Linked DNA regions of Arabidopsis thaliana. The protein of the gene in region 2 interacts with the protein of the main gene of each other region in a pairwise test. Each region holds a gene or a part of one and is shown on either strand. Other genes may lie near its edges.

Evidence for each region.
Region 1: the proteins of AT3G44230 (region 2) and AT2G45060 interact in a protein complementation assay, tested with the Arabidopsis thaliana proteins (one large-scale study listed by BioGRID).

What each region holds. Positions count from the first base shown.
Region 1 is NC_003071.7:18,582,935-18,588,707, reverse strand, and holds AT2G45060 (alanine-tRNA ligase), read left to right. Parts: upstream 1-1,834; 5' UTR 1,835-2,019; coding exon 2,020-2,289; intron 2,290-2,418; coding exon 2,419-2,485; intron 2,486-2,567; coding exon 2,568-2,645; intron 2,646-2,735; coding exon 2,736-2,788; intron 2,789-2,879; coding exon 2,880-2,963; intron 2,964-3,411; coding exon 3,412-3,464; intron 3,465-3,554; coding exon 3,555-3,619; intron 3,620-3,742; coding exon 3,743-3,801; intron 3,802-3,944; coding exon 3,945-4,034; 3' UTR 4,035-4,417; downstream 4,418-5,773. Other genes in the region: SEC61 BETA (Preprotein translocase Sec, Sec61-beta subunit protein), read left to right, coding at 1,252-1,500; GATA2 (GATA transcription factor 2), read right to left, coding at 4,863-5,441, 5,535-5,750.
Region 2 is NC_003074.8:15,929,588-15,934,277, reverse strand, and holds AT3G44230 (uncharacterized protein), read right to left. Parts: upstream 2,145-4,690; coding exon 1,530-2,144; downstream 1-1,529. Other genes in the region: AT3G44235 (uncharacterized protein), read right to left, coding at 315-562, 643-994; AT3G44220 (Late embryogenesis abundant (LEA) hydroxyproline-rich glycoprotein family), read right to left, coding at 4,633-4,690.

The DNA.
Region 1 (5,773 bases), on a different chromosome or scaffold from region 2:
GGCTTAGATTTTGTCCTTTGATTTAGGGAATCAAAAGAAAGTCATAAACATTAATTTTGCCTGTAAAATCACACATTTCAGATTTGTTCTCGTATGACCTACAAATAAAGTATATGATTACACAATCAATCTTTAGATTCAAGAACTTTGTCCCTACTTCATTATATTCAGCTAACATTTCTTTTTAATTCTCTGTCGTGCGAAAGGTTGTTGACAATATAAATGATATATGTACTTGTACGCGTAATGCTGCTAATACATTTTAATTTGGGCTTCTTCTGGGCCTTAATATTTGGGCTTTAAATAAGTTATCTCTCCCACTTACGCATGTAAACACAGCTCTGATAATTACGCTGAGGTGGCATTTTTTAATTGGCTAATGCATTAAGAGATGCGTGGCGAGAAATTTCCCCTCCTATAAAAATTGTTGAAGAGTCCGGTCAACTCCGAAAGTCTTCAAATCTCTCCGTCACGAATCGTTCTCTCGTCGTCATCAAAATCTGTTAGCCGAATCAGGTGAGCCCTTTGTTATTTTTGTTGTTTATGATCTGGATCTCTGTTGATTGAGGAAATTGGTAGATCTATGGATTTGTTAGATGAGCGTGTGCGTAGATCTGAAAATGAGATCTCGATGTTGAATCTGAATCGCGGCTGGTATACGATTCCCGATCTGGATACGATTCAACATGCATAGCATCTGAGAATTTTACATAGAATTTTGCATGTTCAATTTTTGTCTCGCTGATTTGAGAATTTTAGGATTGCTTCATCTAATTTAGTTTTGTTGACTCGATGCTGAAATTAGTTTTCTGCGTTTGAGAGTTTCGAATCTTCCATCTCCTGAAAATGCAGCTCAAACTCATATAGTATATGTCAAATTGAAACAAGTTTTTTCAATTACGTTTCTAAGAACTCTTGCTAACCAGAACAGGATTGTACCAAGTAATTTACATGATTAAACCTGAATTTGTACTGATTTGAGCTTACGGATAAATGGAAACAATGTGATAGTAGTATATAAATTTGGGTATACGTAGTTGCCTTGTGGGAAGCAAATCTTTTACCAGAGGTTTCTAGTATCATATAGAATGTATGACCATGGAAAACTAAACATGAGCTTAATGGTGTTTAGATGTCTCCTATTATTTCATTTGCTTAATAATTCTCTGTTTTTTTTTATATATGATCGCTCTTTTGCTTCCGATTTCCTAAAGGCCAACCATTATTCTCAGATAGAGAAAAGAAGAAAGAATGGTGGGAAGTGGAGCTCCACAGAGAGGAAGTGCAGCTGCAACTGCAAGCATGCGTAGGAGGAAGCCGACCAGCGGTGCTGGTGGAGGAGGTGCCTCTGGTGGTGCAGCCGGATCCATGCTTCAGTTCTACACCGATGACGCACCTGGTCTCAAGATCTCCCCCAATGTTGTTCTTATCATGAGCATCGGTTTCATTGCTTTCGTCGCTGTGCTTCATGTTATGGGCAAGCTCTACTTTGTCAAATGATGACAAAGATAATAGTTGAAGACAATGCCACCCTAAGTGACTGCTAGTGATCCAAATATTATACAGTGGTTTCAAGTTAATGTTTTAATTTTGTGGTTTATTACCAGAGTATAAACGATCTTTCACAATTCCAGTTTCTTTACATTCAAATTTTCAATATTCTTCACACATATTATAGGCATGAGCTTTTTATACATCTCACAAATGACAATGAGTACTATTATCACCTTTTTAACTTTAAAAAAATTCAATTGTTGATAGCATAACACACTCATAGTCAATGGTCTTGAGTGAAATAACTAATCTATTAACCATAACTAATCTATAAAAGTCTCTGGCGTTTATTGAACAATTAAGAAATAGATGGGAAATGTTGGAGATAAACTAAACTTTTCAGGGTCTTAGTTGTCAATCTGAAACGGGGCCCGATTAAATTATACTCGGGTCATTCTTTTGTCCACCGGGTTTTTCTTCAGAACTTGAGCGAAGGAGGTCGCGATATTGGAGAGATCTTTTCTAATGGCAGCGTTGGGAGAATCATCATCCTCAGAGATGGACAACGCGAAATCGCCGGAGATTCAACAATCTTCGCCAGTGCATCCGCCGGAGTATCAGAAGATCGCAACGACGACGGTGGAAAATGCGGCTTCCTGGATCGATGATGCGTTGCGTCAGGCGCTTGTTTACCAGAAGACGATCACGGAGACGGTGGATTCTACCATTGACGCCTCCAAAGCTCGATTGTCTCAGATTCGAGATACTTCTGTAGCTCACACGAGCCAAACCATCGTAAGCTAACTACAACCTCCTAATTTTCATTGGAATCCAAAGGGAATCTGAAATTCACAGCATCTACTCTCTATGTCATCCGTGTGATTGTTTATCCTCTCACGAAATCGAGGTTTCGGTATATTATAGGATTCTCTTCGAGACATTGCTTCTGAGTATAACGTTTACGAGCAAATGGTGTTTGGGAAGATCAAAGGTCTGCTCTACCTTTGGTGGCTACCTCTATGTTGTTGTGCTTTTTTTCTCTTAGCTCATATGTTTGTCAATCTTGTATGTAGATGGTGTGAATGTTGCTGCATCTCATCCGCTAATATCAGGCACCTTAGCTTTTGGAGTTGGGATTTTTGCTCTGAAAAGTACGTTTTCTGGATATTCTTTTAATCTCCCTAGAGTTTCAATCGCCTAGAATGTTATGAACTGTAGTGATTGCTCTTGTTTGTTTGCAGAGACCAGAAGATTTGTATATTACAATACTGTACGCATGTTTGTTAGTGAAGAGGTCAGTGTTGTATACAACATCGTTGAATTATAAATTGGTCTCTCTGTGGTTAAATATGTTCTTGAAACTTGACAGTATGTTTTGGATTCAGGCTTTGCTTTCTAGAGCAGATCTTAAAGTAAAAGAGTTGCGACAATCAATGGATCGTCTTAAAGCCGAGAGTGAAAAGTTAGAGGTAAGCCTCTTCTTTTGTTTTAATGAGTTGTTCTGTTCGACATGAGGTTGACGTTTGTGGAGAAGACTGCCTATGTTATGCGTTTAGTTAGCTATATTACTCTCTTTCGGTTTTGCTTCAACATCCCTTTATTTTGAAATAGAATGTGTGGCATTTAGGATGAAAATTGAAAGGGGTTAGGTTTCGACCAGAGAAATTTCTATATAGCCTTATTCAGTGGATATGGATGAATGCTTCTACTTTCGCAGGCATATAGCCTTTCACGGTTGAAGTAATTTAGTGCAAGGATATTCTTGAGTCTAACTCTTTCTTAACCCTAGTCAATAGATATATAGTTATATACCCTCCAACTAATAGTCAATGGTCTTGAGTGAAAGTAGTCTATTAGAAGCAGGTATTGGATTACGGTTTTTGAATTCTTAACAATTTTTAACTTTCATTGCTTCAGAGAGTTGCAACTGTGGCAGAAGAGGAATTCATTAGAGGAAGGATGAAACTCAGGTTTATGATCCAGACAAATTACAACATCTGTATATTGGATTTATATATCAACATGAATATTATGTTAACTTTCTTCATCTTCTTACACAGGCAAGCAGGCAAACAAATCAGAGGTGCGATCAGCTCAGCTTATAAGATTGAAAAGCAAGCAGCAGGTACACCTTTCTGTGCTATCATGCTACAGTTTGTGAAACCAAAAATATGCATAGAACAGAAGAAGAAAACTTTCGCCGTAACAAAGCTTATCGACTTAGACCATGATCATTTTTTATTTACAGGTTTGAAAGATGTACTAAAAGAACTGCCAACGAGAGAAGCTTCTCGATTCCGCACTCAAGTAAGTGTTACTTGTCTTTTGGCTCTTATAGGTAGAGTATAGGAGCTGGGATCTAGAGTTAGAAGCTGAACTTGGTTGGAATAAATTTAACAACCATTTTATATACATTGTATAATGGAGATATCTCAATTGTTCAACCTCAGATATCGAAGCGTGCTTCTGAAGTGAAGCAAGAGAGAAACGCTTTGACAAAGGAAGTGAACAAGATCAGCAATTATGGTATCTCCGTATGAGGCAAACCAAACCCCATTTTCGAGTTACGAATTTCTTTACTCTTGAGGTTCTTCTTTAGATGATGGAGCAAAATTACACAATAATAATGTCTACAACATGATTCAAACTCTTTTTTTTTTTTTTTTTGGTTTCGTGTCAAATGCTAAAGATGTAATCTCTTGTTGTCTTCGGTTTTCAAGGGTTTCGTTCATTGGCGATAGTTAGTACTTAGTAATACAAGTTCATGATGATGTTGTCATGTTTAAGTCTCCCATCCATGAAGGTGTATTTTTAAATCCAATTTTCCCTTTTGAATTTAAACTGAAAATCAAACCTTATATGATCAGTTTTGTTGATTAGAGTATAATGTAAACCGAACCTTAAATCACAATTTCGTAAACCGGAATTAGGACCCCAATTTTTGATCGAAACGTGAAGTCGAAATAAGGGTGCAAGTGGATAATATATATAACTCGGAAGTCTGAACACTGACGCCGTTTAGTGTAAGCGGAAATTAATGAAGCTTTTTCTGATTTCATGCTTCAGTAAATGATTAAATCATTTGCAAATATTTAAAGAAAACAAAATTGAAGGATGAAGTAAATAACGTAGGAGAAAAGGCAAAGCCCAAAGATATAATTTTTTTTTAATAATTAACAATTAAATGAGGTTTGATTTTCCAACGTTCACTAAAAATTTTAGGCTCCCGTCGTCGTCGGTCACGTGATTAACGCCGCTAGGATCGCGACACGTCATCATCACGTGACGTTACCCAAAACCCAACCCCAAGAACCAAAAAGAAAAACAAAAAAAAGAGTGACGACGGACGAGGCAGTGAAAAGTGAAAACTAAAACGGGTGGTGGTGGTGATGAAGTTGAACTTGTTGTGGTTGTCTCATAACTTCTTTCTGCCGTCGAAGCTCCATCACTTTCCGGTGAGAGTTTGAATGCTGAGTCAAAACAAAAGTAGGACTCGAAGCCGGTCTATATTCCGGTACAAGTCTACCGGATTTAAACCGGACTCCACAAGCGTTACATAGTGTTTTAGGTCCAAGTGGTCCTGTCCTCCACTGTGGCGTTTTCTCCGATGCACAGTGAGTACATCTCCTCATTCCTCCTCCTTCCGTAGTCTCCGATGACGATGACTGATGTCTTCCTCCTCCTCCTCCTCCTCCGCCGGATTGTTCTTTCTTTGGCTTGAATTTGGCGGCGGAGTGAAGCTGCTGATGCTCGGATTCCAGTGGCATCGGAGACCATGTTCCGGCGAAAGGAGCAGGAGCTCTTGATCGTTTGCTTCTTGGTTTCCCCGGAAAGGAAGTTTCAGTTTTGACAGAAGTCATAGTTCCTCCTAATGGATTCGCCGGAAAATCAGCGAAAGAATCGTCCACGAATTGCGAAAGCCATTCAAGATGAGCTGCGTCATCACTCTGCACACAAAAAATACAACAAAAATCAAAACACAATCTTTATTTCAAAGTCGAAACTTTGATTGGAGAAAGAGAGAGGGAGAGAGATTATACGGGAACGCAAATGTCGTGGAGGAAGGAGTGATGATCGGCGGAGGAAGGGAGATGGTGGTGGTGGAAACTAGGGTTTTGAGGAGGAGGGAAAGAAGAAGAGGAAGTAGCGGCGGTGGAACCACCGGAAGAAGAAGCGGAGAAGATGTCTTCGTTGGAGAAATCAAGAAGGTCGTCGATTCGAAGTAAGTCTGGTGAAGATAAGCCATAGACGTCCATTGTTATAGATTATGATTGAGTGG
Region 2 (4,690 bases):
TTAAAAAAAAAAAAATGGTGTGGTTAAAGGAATGGGTCAAAACTAAATGAGTAAAAGTTTTGTCACTCTTAGAAGGGGATTTTCAAGCTCTTATATTTACTATGCAATGTAAGTCAATTCGAGGTCTAAGAAAACTCATATTTGAGGGATTGCAAACTAATAAACGATGAAGTTAAAAAAACAACAATAAATAAGCCTATAGATAACAAACAATATAAAAAGATAACTCGAATATTTGGGACCACCACATATGTTCCTCTCAATCATAACCACTGTCACCGTTCATAACATTCTAACCAAAAGCTAGCCCAAGGCTAAAGGGAATTATCCAAGCTGCTGTTAAACAAGTATTCACAACGTTTCATGTTTCCGACCAACGATCCTTTCATGTTCCCTTCTGGATCCAACAGAAACCTAACCGGCAAATCACTGCCTGTCACCCTCAACAATCCCTTTTTTTTAAGACTAGTGCCCGCTTGGACGCGGGCAATGATCTTGACCCCGGTGTCCCAAACCACATGGCCATCTTTTATGCTGTCTAGCTTCCGCGTGGTGAAGCCGACTGTTGAAATTGGTGTGTGATTAACTAATTGCTCACAAGAGTAGGGTGTGGTTGACTCAGCCTGTCAGCCATAACCCTACCTCCTTGTAAGAGTTGGCCGTTAACTGTGAAGAGAGATAACTGACAAAATGTGAAAGGACTATCAGCAACCAATGAGACGTTCCAGTTCGTATTGTTGGAGACGGAGACAGAGTCGACGAATAGGTCTAAGTAACATCTGCTAATGTTGATTAGCCCTATCAACAGATACAACCAAAAACCAAAAGTATAGAGCAGTATTACGTACATTCTACAATAATTTCGAATAGGATGGTCTATCTCGCCATCTCCGTCTTCATCTTCAGTCGTCGTTGAATTTGGATCACGAGATGATGTTATTTGAGACCAAGTCGTTAAATTAGGATCACGAGGTTCAATTTGAGACCACGACATTTTGGAATTATGGAAGGCTTAGTACATATTATGCTAAAGTATTATAATCAGCTTATTCTAAGAGAACAGTTCAGGAGACAACAATAGAAAACATGATATTTTTTCTTTAACTAAATATTTATAGGTGTTATCACTATAAGTTTTGTTCTTCCTAACAATAACAATAACTTATCTATAAATAACTTGATGTTTTAAGACAAGTGAAGCTGGTTTTGTGGCGCGAAAAGAAATCAATCTGTTGAATTTTCGGTTGTAGATCCGCAAAAAGTTGAGAGTTTTGTATCCTACTTTGAAGAAATAGATATCTTAATAAGTTTTGTATGTAATGTAACAATTTCTATCAAAAAATATTTTACTTTTACTTGTACCCTCATGAGTTGAATCTTGTTCATCCATATTTAAACATATTTAATCTGAGGATTGTGAGTTAGTAGTCAGTGTAAATCTAACAAATGATTCTGATAACAATGGTTTGGGATGTATTTATTTGAAAATGTAGTAGTTAATAATAATAACATGAAAAATCTAAGAACAATCAAGGAAAAGGCTCTTTCAAATTTAGAAAAGATGAGTGACATTCAATTTTCTTGTCACCGAGCATCACTCCCGACTTCATATCCGATGAGAACACTAGGGTAAAATTTCTACACTGAACATTGAAATGTCCTGGTTTGTTGTTCGCGGCAATTTGTTTATGCTTCATGAGAAGTGTAATATTAAGATTGTAGACACCTGAAATAACGTTGCTTCCATTGGCTGGTCCAATATCCTCAGTCTCAGCCGCGAAAACCACGGAAAAATCCGTGAAGCCATTGGAACGTTGGTAGTGAGAGACGTTTACAATGGCACTTTTTAGGGGACTAAGATTGGCTGACACGTATTCGCGTTCATAAGAGATAGAACACATAAAGCTAGGTTTCTTCACAATGAAATATACGATCCACACCGATTCAGAAGAGGAGGCGGAGACGGATATAGATTGGATTGAGAAGTTGGCCTTACAAGAAAACAAATTGTCGATGGAAAATAAGATAGCGTACACGGCTAGGAGGGTGAACAGGGCAGCCCAACCTGGTTCCACAAAGCAGTTCTCAGCATCGGGAATGTTAACATCATTTGGGTCTTCAATCTCTAATGTTTGGTAATCCATTTTGCTCTTGTTACACAAGTTGTTGAGCGACTTTTGTGTGTTTTTCAACTAATTGTAAAGGAAAGGGAGAAGGAATGATAGTACATGAAATACCTCCTTTATTATAAATTAACCTAAGGAATAAATGTGACAAAAGAAAAACATGACTAACTATATTTAGAATGCAAAGGAACATGCAAAACCAATTCAAGCTTTTCTTTAACCCAAACTAATAACCCAATCTACTTTGTTTAACTATTTATATGTTTTGGTAAACCCCACATTTACTAAATTAAGTCTTGTGTGGTTTTCCACATCGGACCAAAGAGTTTGTCTAACATTATAAAGTACGAGAAATAAAATGCAAGGAAAAAGAAATTATTATGGAGCAAGCGAAATTGTCCAACATGTTACTTAAGCTATTAATTATGTAAATAAGAGTAAACAAGGTTGCACTCTGCCCCATTGACATTTAACTTTGGGGATGTGTTTAATGGATTTATTAGACACAAGAAAAAAGTTTTTTGCAATTAAAGTTTTGAATCAACCAATTGGTCAACCAATGGGACAAGGAGTCTTCAACAAGTTTTCAACTATTAAGAAAGTCATTTTCTTAAAAAATAAAAATTAAACATTCTGTAGTTGGCCAATGATAAACATAATGTTAATTGCTTTATCAACTAATTCAGACAAAATTAACGGCAATGCCTTCCAGAAACGTGGCATCGTAGCCAAAGAAAATTTTCCGTCTAAATTTATTATTTATTATAAATTATGAGAACTGTTATATAGACGATTCCCTTACGGACAATTCCTTTCGACCCTTATTAGATCCACGACAGACGACATCTTCTTCTCCTTCTCCATGCGCTTAATAGACACCTTCAATATCTTCTCTGCGTAGAATCTTGGCGAACAACTATAATTGTTCTTCGTTGTAGATCTCTTGCATATTTGCTTCCATTAATTTGCAAATCTGCTAATAAATCGCAATAGCTGGAACTCGAACCCCAAATCTCTTAGTGTAAAAGTATTAACAGAAGTTTGAAAAATAATTTTTGTAATATAAATTGTATAATTTCTCAAAATAATTTTGGCTGGAAGCCCCTTGGCCCCTTGCTTTACAAAAATTATTTTGTTATATATGGTTTTTCTAAGGATTCCCTGTATTTAACCAAATTTGAATTTCAATTGACAATATTATATAGAGCCAATGTAATTATCAACCTTTACATGAAATAGATGAATTGTTTTTAGTTAGATAAACTTTCCTTTTTGGTTGTAATTCTCTGTTGCTAGCTAAGACAAAATCAAATACAACGTCACTAAAGTTACAATAACACGTGGCAAGTAGAGAGTTTGTTGGGGCGAATATGAATCATTTTCATTTTTCCTTTAAGCATCTGCAAAATTAAGCTTTGTTAAAGTCTTTTTCGAACCAAAAAAAAAAAAAAAAAAACTTTGTTAAAGTTCAATGATAAAGAAAGCACTTTTGTTTTTGTTATCCAGAACGAAATTAGCTTTTGCCGATGTATATTTTATTCAATTTATTTAAAATGAAATTTAGATCTCATCAAGAAACTTTCTAAAGTATAAAAAAATACATAAATGGCATGCGCATTGCACCTGAAAATGTGCAAATGTCACATACATGACCACGATTTTCACCTCTCACGTGTATTAAGTCATCAATAAGCATACATATCACTTTGACAAAAAAAGTATAAATCTCACGAATCCATTTACTTACTTTATTATAAACCAATTAAACTAACTAATAGTATACCAAAGTGATAAAAAGAAATGTTCCACGAATTTCAAGTTTCAATACAGTAATAACTTTTACAAGTCTCTCTTCACTCGTTTGTTTTTCCAATATGTTGAAGTTTATAAACTAAATAAAATAAATAAAAAGATTTAATCAATTTTGTAAATGAGGATCTAGAAAACAGATTTACTTGGGAAGTTCGCATTCATCTGAAAAAGAGAAGACAAAAGTCGTTTAAGTTAGAAATTTAGTTGACCCAAAACTGCTTACTTAGTACCAAGCAAATATATATGATCTTGTCATGTCCCCAAGAAACATGATCCAAAATTTATGCAAATGTCACCTATTCAAAAATCAAGTTTTGTTTCCAAAATTCAAGAAATATTCACAAATAATGCAAAAAATGATTAATCAATTTATTGGTGACTCCCAGTAATTACGATCATTAGCCAGTAAACAAAAAAATAGTTTTCAAAACGCAATTGGTTTCTTAACACTTGAACAACAAATCTTGATTAAATTATGTTTTTATTTATTTTTTATATATCTTGGTATTTATTTTAAAGAATGGAAAAGAGGGACCTAGTAATTATTATGTTAAACTTAAATCTCATAAGAAAAAAAAGACAAACAATATATTATTATTATGAATAATAACATTTCGAAGAATTTACTTAACTAACACTAAAAGCACAACAAAAGTACTCTAGTCTCTCTAAAGAATAATGATGATCCCTTTGTTTAAACATCAACGGCACATCGTTGGACAAGCTGGTACTTCACGGCTGGACCATCACCA